Linked DNA regions of Oryctolagus cuniculus. The main gene of each other region encodes a partner of the protein of the gene in region 3 in a complex. Links are inferred from orthologs where the notes say so. Each region holds a gene or a part of one and is shown on either strand. Other genes may lie near its edges.

Region 1 (4,293 bases), on a different chromosome or scaffold from region 3:
TGGAGAGAGGGTGGCTGGAAGAGCCGAGGCCGCCGCCGCCGCCGCCGCCGCCGCCACTGCCCCCAGAGGAGCCGCCGCCGCCACCCCCGAAGCCTGAGGAGAGCCGCTTCCCGGACAGCAGCTTCTCCACGGCCGGGAGGTGCCCGGTGCGGGCCGCCTCCAGCAGCTCCTGCTCCTTCCCCATCCCCAGGGCCGCCACCCCAGGACCCCCCACCCCGGGGCCACCGTGGAGCCGGCTCGGCTCCCAAACTTTCCGTCTCCGGGCAACGCACCCCCTAAACCGGCCGGGGACACCACCCCCCTCCCCCCCCGCCTTTTCCCCACGAGCGCGTCACTTCCGGGATCCGGCGTCACGCGTCACCGCGCCCCCATGCCCCGCCCCCTTGCCCACCTAGCTGGGCGGGGCTCCGCGTCCCTGTGCAGGTGGACCTTGGTGTGTCAGGACAGGACTTGGGGGTCAATGGGGCAGTGCCATGTGGGTACCCATTGAAGAAGTGGAAAGGGACAAAGGGGACCCACCTGTGTACGCCTCCAAAGTGCGCTTCTTTTCCAAAGGTTTTGGGAGCTCACGGGACAGGAAATACGGTAATTCGTCCCGGCGGTGTGGAAACAAAGAGAGAAATATGGTAATACGCACCTACATTTCCAAGTCCGTTCTTTAAGCATAAAGCAGTATGTAACAGGTGCGGGAGCCTGGTAATACAGAGGTGAATAAAACGCCCTGCCCCTCCCTCCGCGTGCCTCAATGAAAAAAGGCAGGACATTTTAAAAGCAGAAATATCCTAGCCCCTTCACCATCCCAATCCGTGAAATGGCTCATTAAAGTGAAGCGCTCAAAGGAGAGACCTCCCACCCTGTAGGGATTCCTCATGATGAGACTGAGTGGGTAACAGAAGTCAGGCTTGAGAAACCTATCCCGATTTTCAGCACTGGCGAACTGGAAAAATCATTTAATTCGGTAGAAAATGTTTTTTCCCTGTACTAGCGCTGCTCCGGACTCAGAAACAGGCAGTCAACACTCGTGGAGTGAATGAATGGGTTGGATAAACACTGCTCAAGCAATAGGACTTTTTTTTTTTAAGGTGCTCGTGAAATATTCGTAGAGGGGAAATGGTGGCAATTCAATGTAAAGTCAGGCCCGCAGTCTGTCCAGGTGAAATAAAGGAGGTTGAGTCCCTGCCTGAAAGTTTGCTACCCCAAGGTTACGCGACAGCCGCGTACAAAAGGAGCAGTTTTCTCCCAGGTCCTCCAACTTTGAGGAAGAGGTTAACTGACAAAGCATTCTTAGAACGACGGAAAGGAAAAAGAAACCCTTCAGGAAGCACAACTGCACTTCTTCACAGGTGCTGGTCTCCAAGGACGGATCCACAGGGGACTTTGCACCCTCAGCGTTCTCTCTCCAGCACCACCCACCCAGGATTCAAACGGAGCCCTCAGGTGCTCCGCGCGCCCCCCATGGCCCTTCCGAGGACCAGTAGTGGTGACGACATCGCGGTGCGACGACAGGAAGTAAGCGCCCACTGTGCCGCGCGAGGTCCGGAGCTCCGCGGCCGACAGCACCGCGATCTCCTCCCCTTGCCGTTCTAGCTGTGATGGACAATGCCCGCGAGTCTCCTGCGGACAAAGGTGGGGAAGCAGGGGAGTCAGACGAGACGACTGCTGCTCCTGGGGGCCCGGGGACTGCGGACACGGACGGGATCCCGGAGGAAGCGGACGGAGACGGAGACGCGGACTTGAAAGAAGCGGCAGCGGAGGAAGGCGAGGTAGGCAGAGAAGTGTGACTGAGGTTGGAGGCATACGCCGGGATTGTGTTACCCGGAGCTCGCCACGATTCCCTCTAGATCTGCCGTCCGGGGAGTGTGGGAGGAGCAACAAAACTGTGGTGCTGGTTTGGTTCCAGAGACTCGAGCATTAGGTTTTAATATGTTTAGTCCTTGCCTTTCGGGATTAAAGCTACATCTAAGTGAATTTTAAATAGCTTCTTGGTTTTCCTATTGATGAAGTCGGTACTGTCATCCCGAGACTTAGTGCAAGAGCCAAAATCCAGGATTCCCAGCGCGCCTTTCACCGCACTATAGGTCCTCTTAGTTAATTGTTGTTTAAGTACAGCTTTCGTCTTTACAGGAGGCAGAGTTGATCAGATCTGTTAACGGGAGACTTTGAAGTCATATTCTCATCCAGCTGCTGCAGTGTCCTCCGTGCTAATGTCCAGGGGTTTCTATAACGTAAAAACACCAAATCCATCAGCTGTGCTCTCAGGATAGCTCAGCAGGGTTGCCTAACCGCGCAACAATCGCGACCAGAATCTCAGCGTCCTGTGGGTTCCTTTTCTAAAGAGAGAATTTCTAGGATCTTAGAGGCAGAAGGAACTGAAGAGCTCATGGACTGAACGTTAGATGGATAGCCTTGTCACCAAAACATACACGGTAAGCTTTTAGAAAAAGAGAAGACAGTTGACAAAGCTGAAGAAGGAAAAGTTAAAATGGGTCTCAAGGACGCAAAGGAATTGAATAATTAGCATGGTCCACTAAAGGAGCTCACTACAATATAGAAGTTTGGAGCCAGCAGAGGATAGAATTATGATGCTTTTGAAACATTTTTAAAAATTAGGCCGGCGCCGCGGCTCACTAGGCTAATCCTCCGCCTTGCGGCGCCGGCACACCGGGTTCTAGTCCCAGTCAGGGCGCCAGATTCTGTCCCGGTTGCCCCTCTTCCAGGCCAGCCCTCTGCTGTGGCCAGGGAGTGCAGTGGAGGATGGCCCAAGTCCTTGGGCCCTGCACCCCATGGGAGACCAGGAGAAGCACCTGGCTCCTGCCATCGGATCAGCGCGGTGCGCCGGCTGCAGCGCGCCGGCCGCGGCGGCCATTGGAGGGTGAACCAACGGCAAAGGAAGACCTTTCTCTCTGTCTCTCTCTCTCTCACTGTCCACTCTGCCTGTAAAAAAAAAAAAAAAAAAAAAAAAAAAAAAAAATTAATCAAAGACCAGCATTGTGGCACAGCAGGTTAAGCTACCTGCAACCCCAGAATCCCATATGGGCACTGGTTCAGTTCTGGCTGCTCCGCTTCCAGTCTAGGCCCTTGCTGATGTGCCTGGGAAGGCAGCTGAAGGTGGCCCAAGTTGAGCACCTGCACCCATGTAGGACTTCTGGCTTCCACCTGGCCCAGCCCTGGTGGTTGTGACCAATTGGGGAGTGAACTAGCAGATGGAAGAACTCTGTCTCTCCCTCTCTCTGTAACTCTGCCTTTCGATAAAAATTGATTATGTTGGGGCCAGCACTGTGGATTAGCTTTAAATATGTAACATAATGCATGTAAGTATGTAAAATATTTATTAATATTCTTTAAGTCAGAATCACAAAGTTGGGGGTGGGGGGTGGGGAGTGAGCAAGCTTCCATCTGCCTGTTCATTCCCCCAAATGGTCACAGTGGCTAGAGCTGGGCCAGGCTGAAGCCAGGAGTCAGTAGCTTCTTCCAGGTCTCCCACATGGGTGCAGGGGCCCAAGGACTTGGGCCATCTTTGGGCCATCTTCTGCTGCTTTCCCAAGCACATTAGCAGGGAGCTGGATCAGAAGTAGAGCAGCCAGGACTTGAACTGGCACTCATATGAGATGCCAGTGCTGCAGACAGCAGCTTAACCCACTATGCCACAGCATTGGCCCCTACATATTTTTGATTTTCAAAGAATGTACTTATTAGAAAAAAAAAATGGCCTATCTGCTGATTCACACTCCAAATGCCCAAAACAGCTCAGACACTCTAATAGGGGACATGGACATCCCAACCAGCATCTCAGATTTTCACTCCAGGGCCTCCTTTTTAATAATCTTTCTAAATTGAATCGTCAATAGTAAAAATATCTTTGGATCCAGAGGAGAAGAGCTGGCTGGCTGGAGAGGGCTTTGGTGACATCCCCTGTAAGGAATGAGCAGGAGAGAGAGTCCATGGAGAGAGTGGTTTTCATGATCTTGGCCATTTCTTTATCCTTGTATACAGACACTGAAGCTGTGATCATAGCTAAACTGGAAAACTAGATTATTTAACTGGTTCTTTCTACAGCCTAACTAACCTTCCTTGAGGAGAGATACTGTATCTTATACTGGGTGGAACAGTCAGTTCTGGGACAAAAAAACTACACAATAAGTGGATCTGTTGTGTTATGAGGATGATGTCTTAACCTTAGCCAAGCCTGGAAAGTAGGACAAATATATAATAGAGTTCTTTTCATCTTCCCAGCTCAAAAGTCAGGACGTCTCCGATTTAACAGCAGGTGAAAGGGAAGACGCGTCATTACTT
Region 2 (3,206 bases), on a different chromosome or scaffold from region 3:
CTATGGCCAGGGAGTGCAGTGGAGGATGGCCCAGGTGCTTGGGCCCTGCACCCCATGGGAGACCAGGAAAAGCACCTGGCTCCTGGCTCCTGCCAGGATCAGCGCGGTGCGCCGGCTGCAGCGGCGGCCATTGGAGGGTGAACCAACGGCAAAGGAAGACCTTTCTCTCTCTCTCTCTCTCTCTCACTGTCCACTCTGCCTGTCAAAAAAAAAAAAAAAAAAAAAAGGGTAAAGCAGGCCTTCATCTACAAATACTAGAGTAGTTTAGAATGGCTCTGTATCTCATGTTTTCCAGCCTCCTGATGGAGCAGGTGGATTAGAACCTTAATAGAATGCAAAGATGACATTTCCCAATTTCTGCTATGTTCCTTTTTTTTTTTTTTTTTAACCCACAACTGCTTCTTTACCTGCAAAGCAGGACCAAACTGACCAATCATTAAACTCTACCGAGAAACCACCTCAAAAGATTATCTGACTCCTATTACCAATGAAAAAATCAAGACACATAAGTTGAAAATTAGTCGCTTTTATTTATGTTAGAAACCTTATGAAATTATTTGCATCTCTACATGTGTGAAACTGCTTTGATTTAACTGAGAAAATAGTTAGGGAAACATATGCAAACCAACTTCATTGCCTCTACACTAGGTTCTTACCTATCTCAGAAGGCACCACATGGCAGCAATAGCAGCTTCCGGGAAATGGGGAAACAGCAGCAAAGTCCTGCAATGCAGCTGTGAATATTAGGGTTCAGCTGTTCATTCCACTAACCCTACAACTTCCTAACAATTACATTACTGCCTAGTCAATCCTAATTCTATAGAATGAACACCTAGCAAAGTGCTTCTTGAAAACAAGATAATTTAAAAAGAACTTCTAGCATTAGAAGGAACGGGAACTACTGCAAAATCTTAAAATCCAGAAAAAGTGATGAAGATTTTCTTAGTGTGGAACCATCAGGTTCAAAATGATCAAAATTCTTCTTACTTCTCTAGGAGTGACTCCAGCTCTTCCTGCAAAGAGCTGAGCTGCTCCTTTTCTCGGTCTTCCTTTTGTTTTAACTCATCCAGCACAGCCTGAAATCTGTTCTTGAGAGCCAGGTTTTCCACCTTCATGATGAGATCCTCCTGTCGCTTGGCCCTGTCCTGGGTCTCCTGGAGCTTGCCTTTCATGTTGTCAATCTGCTTCTGAATGCCCATAACCAGCTGGTTGGTCCCTTCGTTTTCTTGGTGCTGTTCATCTGACTCATTCAGCTTGTCCTGCAGCTGTCTCTCCAGGTCTTCCTCAGTGTCGATGATGTTTATATCTTCTTCGTCCTGGTGCTGGGTGTCATCTTCATCCTCGCTGCTGCTGCTGAGGTCATTGAATATCTCCCGAAGCTCATCGTGCTCCAGGGAGTCCTGGCCCTGCCTGTGGCCAGACATTCCTGGGGAAGAGATGTCAAGGCCTTGATTCTCCGTCTCTTTTGTTTCATCTTCAGCAATTATCTCCCAGCGAGTACTGACAGCTTCCGCATCTGTACTCAGCAACCGCTTCACTTCTTTCTCCACGTCTGGAGACTCAATATACTTTTTCTTTGCTGTCTTCCGGAATCTTCTCTTTCTGACATTCTTTAGAGGCAGAGTAATTCCATGGTTCCAGACGAACTTTTTCTCTTTGTCCTTATCCTTTTTCTTGCTTGCTTTGGGGTCAGCAGCAGCAACTGGCTCCTCCACAGGGGGATAAAGATCACCATCAACTGTGGACACGAGCATCTGACAGATATCAGCAGTCTTGTAAAAGGTTTTTTTATCGATGGTTTTCAAGCTTTCCATAACACACGGCAGATCCACCAGTTTTGAGGCCAGAGGGACCCGGTCCACTCTGACAATTCCATGACGCCCATCGGGGTGTAACTCGATGGTCAGTCTGTCTTTCAGGTTGACATGCCCCGACTGCACTGCCCTCCTCACAGTAGCAGCATATTCTGGAGGCAGGCGCAAGATAAACTGGCTCTCCAGCTCATGAGGGGCATCATCTTTGCTCTTACTCATCTTCACTTCTTTCTGACTCCCTTCTCCTAATAAACACTTGCTGCACTGAAAAGTTTCAGCTACTGCAACAATTTAAAAGACCAGTTCCTTATGAATTAAAATCTAACAACAGAAGGTTCTATGCAGAACAGTAGCTAAGCATCTGTTTTGTCTTAATTTTTAATCAAGCCACAAATCTTTTCTCTAAATATGCTGCACTCCACACCCGCTGTTTGTTACCGACACACTGGCTTATTCAGAGAATTAAGTCCATTTAAAGCCTGGAGCTGCAATGCCGAGTTCCAGCCTCTAGGTGCCGCCTCCAGACAATGCAGACAGAGCAAGCGGGCGAGCGAGCGAGCAGGAAAGCAAATGGCGGCTCCTGCAGAATGAAGACGGCACAAAATTAGGACAAGCAGTCAACACCGACCCAAACCCTCCCGAAACAAGCATAACTGAAAAAGCGGGACGCAGCGAGCTGCCTTTGCCTCGGGTACTTACAATCCAGTGACGGTTATAAATTCAGCTTCGCGCCGGGCGCAGGCGGCGGGGGGAGGAAGCCACTCGCTGCAAAGCGGCGGGGAGCCTCTTCTCTCGCCGACTCCTTTGTTCTTCCTGCTGCTCAGCTGAGTGATCCGCTACTGATTACCAATGCTTCGGTCCCGGCGGGAAGCGCGAAATTTCGCCGAGACGCGCTGCGCAGAGCCACACACCGGAGGCTCCGCAGGCGTCTGCCTGCAGCCGCTTGCAGAGCTGGCTTTAAAGCCGCGCTGCGTCACGGCGCGGGGCGGGAAGCGGCCGTGAGTGACAGCACGGCCGGGCGGAAAGACGGCCCGCCCCGAGCGCGCGCAGACGCAGTCGCGGCGCTGCGATTCCGGCCGGGACTCGTTCTCTGGATCCAGGGGAATTGTTTTAGGGCGTGAAAATGAAGTTTCCTGCCGACCTAGTTTGAAAATAAGAGATAACGATTGCAGGAAGGTCACAGAGCCTCCCCCTGCTGAGACAGCATTTGTACCGGACCGGCAAGCGCCGAGATAGCGTCTAGACTTCGGGGGTCAGGGCATGTTTGCAGAAAGCGTTTTGCTTCGGGAAACGTCTCGCGTGTTCCCCAGGAGTTACCCATTCTGGTGTCGGTGCAGGAATTTGTAACTAACCACAAAGTGGATTTAAAAGTTCCCAAATCAATGGCGTAAG
Region 3 (4,195 bases):
CCGCGTGTGTGCTTGCCTTGGACGGATCCTGGGGGAGATGGGGTGGGCTCTCTGAGCCGCCCTTCCGTGTTGCCTGAGGATCTCCGACCCGCTTCTCCGCTGGGGAAGACGACTTCCCAGCTCTAGCTCGAGTTGACCTCCTCCGAGAAGCCTTCCTGCCGCCGCCGCCGCCGCCCCCGCCGCCCCGAGGAGCTCCTGCGGCTGTAGCGTGTCTTATGAGCCTTTACTGGCAGAGGGCACTGGTACTGGAGAACTAGTCGGAGTTCGCCCGGCGCCAGGCACGGAGTATGTGTTGAATAATTGTGTTCCCTTCAGATGTGAAAGCGGGGGTGAAGACCTAGGACTGCTTCAGAAGAACCAGGTCCTCCTGCCTCCATTCCCCCACCCCGCCCCCGGCCTGTCTCCACCGAGTCCTGAACACCCCTGATGTTCCTTTTCCTAACGCCAAGCTCCGTGCGTGCCGCTCTCCTTCGGAGCCTGTGGCTTATTCGTCTTGGCACTAGTGATATTGAAAACTTACTGGGCATCGACACCTCTCAGCCTTACAGTCCATTCATTTACTCAACAACTATTTATTACTTCCGGTGTCACGGGCACCAGCCTGGGTTTCAGGAATACATCAGTGAGCAAAACAGAGATCCCTGTCTCCATGGTGGGCGATTCGGGCACTGATAATAAGAATGCCAAAAATAAGAAGTGGTGCGGCGTATTGATTAAATGCTCTGGGACAGAGCAAAATGCAATGGAATGAGGGCAGACGAATAGGGTGGTCAGCATAGGTAGCAATAAAGCTGGCCCCCACCAGAGGAGAAAAGGAACGAGTGGACTCCTGAGCATGAAGCTGTAGAGGGACTTTATGAGGAGAGACTCCTAGACAGAGGGAGAGAGCCGAGGCCGTAGAGCAAGAGCACGCCTCGCAGGTGGTTGTGGCAAGGTGGAAGAAGGAACAGGCCAGAGGTGGAATGGGAGAGGGAAGACCTTGAAGGGTCGGTAGACAAGGAGCCATTACAGGGAACTGTGGTTTGAATACGACTTTTCCACCAGCTCTAATCCCCAGAGTCACGCTAATGGTGTTAAGGGGGTGGGAGCTTAAATCTGACTTTGGCGTTTAGAGGCGTGGCCTTTGGAAGGTGTTAAGGTTTAGATAAGGTCATTAGGGTGAAGCCCTTGTAATTGAATCCTGGTGGGTTTATAAGAACAGAGATACACACATACAATCCCACCAGGACGTGAGGCAGCGTGGGGGCAGGGGACTTGCCAGCCCCTGTGAGCTGTGAACCTCTTTATGGAGTAGCATGCCTCAGGGACTTCATTATAGTAACAAAGAGCTGGCTGATGCTCCAGGTTTTCAGTGGAGAAATGACAATCTGGCTTACATTTTTTTTTTTTTTTTTTGACAGGCAGAGTGGACAGAGAGACAGAGAGAAAGGTCTTCCTTTGCTGTTGGTTCACCCTCCAATGGCCGCCGCGGCCAGCGCACCGCGCTGATCCGATGGCAGGAGCCAGGAGCCAGGTGCTTTTCCTGGTCTCCAATGGGGTGCAGGGCCCAAGCACCTGGGCCATCCTCCACTGCACTCCCTGGCCACAGCAGAGGGCTGGCCTGGAAGAGGGGCAACCGGGACAGAATCCGGCGCCCCGACCGGGACTAGAACCCGGTGTGCCGGCGCCGCTAGGCGGAGGATTAGCCTAGTGAGCCGCGGCGCCGGCCTTCAATCTGGCTTACATTTTGGCAGAGTCACTTTGGCTGCTATGTTGGGAATTCGTGTAGAGAGGAAGGAGTTACCCAGGCAATAGGTGGATGGTGGTGACCTGGGCCAAACTAAGTAAAAGAATCAGGTTGGATTACTTGGTGGATCTGATGGGAGGGTGGGATAAAGAGTGCCTGGATACATGGAGAGCTGAGCTTGGAGATGGTAAGGGAGACTGGGAATTCGGTTTTGGTGGGGACTTTGGGTTGTTTTCCTCTTTGCCTCCTCCCTGTCTCTCCCCTACAGCATCCTCCTTCAGGGAGGAGGAGTTCCAGAATGGCTGAGGAGAAGAAGCTGAAACTTAGCAACACCGTGCTGCCCTCGGAATCCATGAAGGTGGTGGCCGAGTCCATGGGCATCGCCCAGATCCAGGAGGAGACCTGCCAGCTGCTGACCGATGAGGTCAGCTACCGCATCAAGGAGATCGCCCAGGTAGCCGGGGCCTTCCGTCCAGGGTGTCGCCTGGGCCCTCTTCTCCCTCCAGGTCTTGGATTGATGATGTCTGTTCTCCCTCCTCCCCAGGACGCTTTGAAGTTCATGCACATGGGTAAGCGGCAGAAGCTCACCACCAGCGACATTGACTACGCCCTGAAGCTGAAGAACGTCGAGGTGACGGGGGCGGAGGGGTGGCAGCAGGGAGCGGAGACGCCAGCCTTCCAGATGCTGCGTTGACCTTCGGCCAGGCCTCCACGGGCTCCTCTCTCAGTGTCTGCGTCTCTCCTGCTGCAGCCCCTCTATGGCTTCCACGCTCAGGAGTTCATCCCTTTCCGTTTCGCCTCTGGCGGGGGACGGGAGCTGTACTTCTACGAGGAGAAGGAGGTTGATCTGAGCGACATCATCAACACCCCGCTGCCCCGGGTGCCCCTGGACGTCTGCCTCAAAGGTCGGGGCAGGGGTGGGCGGGGTGGCGGGGAGGAGGAGTGTGGGTGTGGGTGTGAGAAAGTCAGAAGAGAAGCAGGCCTCTGGTGAGTGGCAAGAAGGGGATCAGGGACAAACACGCCTCCCTCAGGGTGGCGTGGCCGCCTCATGTCCAGGTCCCGCACCTCAACTTGACACCTCTTTCCTGCAGCTCACTGGCTGAGCATTGAAGGCTGCCAGCCAGCTATACCAGAGAACCCACCCCCAGGTAACCGCCATACCCAGCGCCCACCCCTGCCCTGTCCTCCATCCCCTCCTCCTGCCTCGCGTCACCTCTCCTGCTGGGACACCTTTCCCTCCAGCTCCCAAAGAGCAGCAGAAGGCTGAGGCCACAGAACCCCTCAAGTCCACAAAGCCGGGCCAGGAGGAAGATGGGCCCCTGAAAAGCAAAGGTCAAGGGGCCGCGCCAGCCGACGGCAAAGGTCAGTGCTGCTGGGCCAGGCTCCTCCCGACGCCCACTGGTCGTTTGTGAAGTGCGTGAGGTCATGGCCAGTGAGGCCCGGAAGGGATGGAGAACCCTAGGAGAGGGAGCCAGGCCGCCTGGATGGGGATGTGGGACGTCGAGGTTGTCTGGCACCGCGGCATCTTCTGGAGCTTCCTTCTGCAAACCTGTGTCCTCGGTTCCCACAGGGAAAGAGAAGAAGGCACCGCCCCTGCTGGAGGGGACCCCTTTGCGCCTGAAGCCCCGGAGCATCCACGAGTTGTCCGTGGAGCAGCAGCTGTACTACAAGGAGATCACAGAAGCCTGCGTGGGGTCCTGCGAGGCCAAGAGAGCGGTGAGGCCCCACCGCCCCGCCGGCCCGCCCTCCCCCCAGGACGCCTCCTCTGGGGCTCCAGGTTGTCCCACCATCCCGCCCCGCCTCACTCGCTCCCCCTCTCCCACAGGAGGCTCTGCAGAGCATTGCTACGGACCCGGGCCTCTACCAGATGCTGCCGCGATTCAGCACCTTCATCTCAGAGGGGGTGAGGATGAGGTTCAGCAGGAGCAAGGGGTGCTCTGAGTTCTTGCACCTCGGGGGGTCTCACTGCCCCCACCTCTCCCCGGCCACAGGTCCGTGTGAACGTAGTTCAGAACAACCTGGCCCTGCTCATCTACCTGATGCGCATGGTAAAGGCGCTGATGGACAACCCTACGCTGTATCTAGAAAAATACGTGAGTGCCCCTGCCTGCCCTCCGGCCTCCCCGCGGCCACCGAGGCGGCACCTGCCGGGCGGGCTCAGCTGAGCCACGCCTCTCCGTCAGGTGCATGAGCTGATTCCAGCTGTGATGACCTGCATTGTGAGCAGGCAGCTGTGCCTGCGACCCGATGTGGACAATCACTGGGCACTCCGGGATTTTGCCGCCCGCCTGGTGGCTCAGATCTGCAAGCATTTCAGCACAACCACTAACAACATCCAGTCCCGGATCACCAAGACCTTCACCAAGGTGAGCTGGCCGCTCCCCGTCACTGCCCCAGGCCCGTCAGCAGCTCCGCCCACAGCAGCCGCGGGGGACAGAATGCTGTCCTTTTCAGACACCGTTGATCTGG
Region 4 (3,408 bases), on a different chromosome or scaffold from region 3:
GGTGACAATAATTGTAGCTCTACCCACAGTTGTTCAGATACATAATCCTGTCCCAAGGGTCAGAGGTCTCTTCCTGTATGACACACTCAAATTCTGAAGCTCATCTTAATTTTCCTTGTATTCGCAGGTGGCACTGGAAGGCCTTCGGCCCACCATCCCACCAGGTATTTCCCCCCATGTGTGCAAGCTCATGAAGATCTGCATGAATGAAGACCCTGCTAAGCGACCCAAATTTGACATGATTGTGCCTATCCTGGAGAAGATGCAGGACAAATAGAACTGCAAGGTCCTTGCTGAAACTCCAAGGTGTCAGGACATGGTTGGGGGAGTGTAACTCCCCAAAGCAGTAGGCCTCTGGTTGCCTCCCCTGCCTCCAGTCATGGTACTACCCCAGCCATGGGGCCCATCCTCTGCCCCCATCCCTACCACTGTGGCCCCAAAAGGGGCTGGGCTCAGAGCTTTGTCACTTGCCACACGGTGTCTCCCAGAATGGGAGGGATCAGCCCCGCCTGTCACAATAAAGTTTATTACGAAAACAGGCTGGTGTGGGGACATGGGGATAGAGAAGTACATTTAGGTTGCGTGGCTCAGGTGAAGTAGTGCGGCTTCTTCACATTGATGCCATACTCGCTGAGGGCAGGGGTCAAGTCCTCCATGGTTAGAGTGTACTTGCGGTCCTGAGGGAAGAGGGAAGAGTACCAGCTGAGCACAGGAATCCGAGATTGAAGTCCCAGGTGGGTGATCCTGAGTAGCCTTACACCTCCCCTGGGACTTAGTTTCCCCACAGGGCTCTCAGGATAAGTTAAGCCTCCGCTGCTGTGGAGGGTAATTACTGGTTAAGTGAGCCTCCCCTCACACCTTGCTCTTGCTCCGGGAGCTGCCAGAGGCTGTGCCCTTCATTTTGCAGTGCTGTAGGGCATCGTTGGCAATATCTGAGATGAATTTCTGGGCAGCTAGGGAGATGAGCCGAATTCTAGAGAGAAAAAACTGGTATGAGAAGGAGGTGGACAACAACCTGCAGAAGCACTCAAAGCTCTAGCCTACCCTGGGTTTACTCACATGCGTGGGTCTGAGGCCTCAAAGCCAGCACGGTTCAAGTAGTAACCAGTCACTGCGTCTGGGATCTGAGAAATCAATGAGACAACTGTCAGCATTAGTCCTGCTCCCTGCTGGGCTGTGGGAGGAGGGTGAGGGAGAGAGGATAGGCCTGGCTATCAAGAAGCTCACAGTTTGGGTGGGCGGAGGGACTAAATCACAAGAGCTAGTAGGGGAGCAAATGTAAGATGACGCTGGAAAGCACGGAGGTGTGGCTGTAAGTTGGCGTGGATGCGGGCCAGATGGCCTTGTTCAGGCGGGAAGCCCACCGTAGGCGTATAGTCCTCCAGCTGCATCAAGAAGTCCACCAGAGGCGTGCTAGACACCACGGGCTTCACGTCTCCGTTGGCCGCGCTCGGTAGTACGTAAACCCCGTTAGACATCGCCCCCTCCGGGGGTGCCGCGCCGCCCGCCGACACCGGAGCTGGAGGAGAACCAGCAAACTGAGACACGGAGGTGACAGGCGCAGGGTCCCAGGCAGATCTGCCTTGTACCCTCAACCCTCACCCGCCGCGAAGCCCCGTCCAAGGCTCTTCCCTCACCCTCACCCGTCCCGGCCCTCACCCGCCCCGCGCCGTTCGGTGGGCTCCCCAGCCCGCGCCGCCACGGGTCCCGCGCCCCCGGCCGCGGCTCCAGCCCCAGGCCCCCCTGCTGTCCCCGCGGGGCTGGCCTTGTTCTCCGCGGCGGTGCTGGTGGGCAGCGCGGCGGGAGCCGAGACCGGGGGTGCCGGGCCCGGGGCCGAGGCGGCGGAGGCCGGCGCCGCCTCGGGGTCCGCGCCGGAGCCGCTGCAGCTCATCGGGCTGGTGGGAGAGGCGGCGAACAGAGCCGCTTCCGCTTCCGCTCACGTTACGCACACCCCAGAGTGACGTCACGCGCTCCCCGACTCGCCCCGCCTGTCAATATTTGCTCGGTCCCTGCGGCTTCCCGCCTCCTTTCTTTGCCTCACGGCGGGTTAGGCGAGGAGGCAAGGGGGCGGAGACCAATCCGGGAGAACTACGCGGTCGCCATTCCACCCTCCACCCCGCGGTGCTCCCAGTCGACTCCGCACTTGTGGGTCCCGGGCTCTAATTACGGGTCGAGGACTCCTCATTCAATCGGACGTTCCAAGACCTTGATTTGGGGCTCATCGGCCCGGCACCCCTAGTCTGCCAGTCCGCATTTTCCTGGTTTCCTTATTCAACCTTTTAAAGGTTCAGAGTGGCGTTGGAAAGCCCCCTCCCAAGCCAACTGCCTGCAAGGGAGAGTGCCGCATTCAGTGATGCTGTAGATGGAGAGGAGAGTATTTCAGCCTAAGGAAACAAAATCACATCAAGCGAAAGCATGAGGTTTCCCATTCCGCAAACATTTATTTAATTCGTATTTGCCAACTCTTGAGCCACTCTTGACTGGGAATACAAAGTTAAGTAGGACAAAATTCTAGTTCTGTAGGCACCAGTGGTCTTGGAAAAGGAGGTAAACTGGCAATTTCAATACCATATGGGCGTTAACGATGCTAGAGGTAGGCAGTGCGTGCAGTGCAATGGAGGAAGGGAACAATTGCTGCCTACTTCCAGGTGCCAAGCGCTCCGTCGGCATTATTCCACTGAATTATTCCCTGATTGTTATGAAAGACAGGTAATGAGGAAATGGGCTCAAGGCGATAAACTCTTTTGCTCAAGGTTCTCATTTGTATTGCAACCAAGGTTCACTCAGGTTTGGTTACAAAAATCTAGGATTTTTATGCTACACAAAAATCAGTTAGCTTCTGGGAATCTAAACCTTCAATGAGATGACTTTAGAGCTGAGTCTGTAAAGAATCCTGGAAATTAACCAGGCATTTCTATCAGGGGTGGCTTCAACTAGGGCGAGTTCCTTAAGGGAAGGAAAAATGATTTTGTTACTCAGGAGCAAATAGCAGAAAAGGTTTGTGAACCAAGCCTGAACTTTATCCAGTAATTTTGAAGGATTTTAATCAAGTAAATGGCCTGAGGAGGTTTACATTTTACTTTGGAAAATGTATTAAGGCTGGGTAGGAAGCATGGACACTATTTTTGCAAGGGCCTCCTGCATATTCAGAAGAGAGAGAATATGGTTCAAAGCTAATATGGTAGCACTGGGAAAAGAGAGAATGGGTAAGTTCTAAATATATTTAAATATAGTTGGAATGCATTGTAAATTGATAAACACTTTTTTTTTTAAGAGGCAAAATCTGTAGGGATGTTGATTGAATATGGTGATAGGTGAAGGAAATAGAGGAGTCAAGGATGGCACAGATTTCAGGCTTGGTTGGAAGAGACATAATGTTGTTTACCAAAGACAAATAATAGGTCGAAT

Evidence for each region. Proteins that work in one complex are often made in the same cells at the same time.
Region 1: TAF6 (region 3) and TAF11 share a complex: the UniProt entries of both Homo sapiens proteins name them as parts of the TFIID basal transcription factor complex. The link is inferred for Oryctolagus cuniculus from reciprocal best matches to the Homo sapiens genes TAF6 and TAF11.
Region 2: TAF6 (region 3) and TAF7 share a complex: the UniProt entries of both Homo sapiens proteins name them as parts of the TFIID basal transcription factor complex. The link is inferred for Oryctolagus cuniculus from reciprocal best matches to the Homo sapiens genes TAF6 and TAF7.
Region 4: TAF6 (region 3) and TAF10 share a complex: the UniProt entries of both Homo sapiens proteins name them as parts of the TFIID basal transcription factor complex. The link is inferred for Oryctolagus cuniculus from reciprocal best matches to the Homo sapiens genes TAF6 and TAF10.

What each region holds. Positions count from the first base shown.
Region 1 is NC_091436.1:134,549,500-134,553,792, forward strand, and holds the start of TAF11 (transcription initiation factor TFIID subunit 11), read left to right. Parts: upstream 1-1,483; 5' UTR 1,484-1,592; coding exon 1,593-1,763; intron 1,764-4,233; coding exon 4,234-4,293. Other genes in the region: ANKS1A (ankyrin repeat and SAM domain-containing protein 1A), read right to left, coding at 1-184. UniProt on the Homo sapiens protein: The TFIID basal transcription factor complex plays a major role in the initiation of RNA polymerase II (Pol II)-dependent transcription.
Region 2 is NC_091437.1:28,859,461-28,862,666, forward strand, and holds TAF7 (transcription initiation factor TFIID subunit 7), read right to left. Parts: upstream 2,034-3,206; coding exon 984-2,033; 3' UTR 511-983; downstream 1-510. UniProt on the Homo sapiens protein: The TFIID basal transcription factor complex plays a major role in the initiation of RNA polymerase II (Pol II)-dependent transcription.
Region 3 is NC_091450.1:42,376,084-42,380,278, reverse strand, and holds the start of TAF6 (transcription initiation factor TFIID subunit 6), read left to right. Parts: upstream 1-1,383; 5' UTR 1,384-1,910; coding exon 1,911-2,180; intron 2,181-2,270; coding exon 2,271-2,357; intron 2,358-2,477; coding exon 2,478-2,631; intron 2,632-2,817; coding exon 2,818-2,874; intron 2,875-2,968; coding exon 2,969-3,088; intron 3,089-3,296; coding exon 3,297-3,442; intron 3,443-3,551; coding exon 3,552-3,629; intron 3,630-3,717; coding exon 3,718-3,819; intron 3,820-3,909; coding exon 3,910-4,092; intron 4,093-4,195. UniProt on the Homo sapiens protein: The TFIID basal transcription factor complex plays a major role in the initiation of RNA polymerase II (Pol II)-dependent transcription.
Region 4 is NC_091432.1:60,280,592-60,283,999, reverse strand, and holds TAF10 (transcription initiation factor TFIID subunit 10), read right to left. Parts: upstream 1,929-3,408; 5' UTR 1,892-1,928; coding exon 1,660-1,891; intron 1,520-1,659; coding exon 1,365-1,519; intron 1,125-1,364; coding exon 1,060-1,124; intron 974-1,059; coding exon 859-973; intron 678-858; coding exon 588-677; 3' UTR 511-587; downstream 1-510. Other genes in the region: ILK (integrin-linked protein kinase), read left to right, coding at 128-277. UniProt on the Homo sapiens protein: The TFIID basal transcription factor complex plays a major role in the initiation of RNA polymerase II (Pol II)-dependent transcription.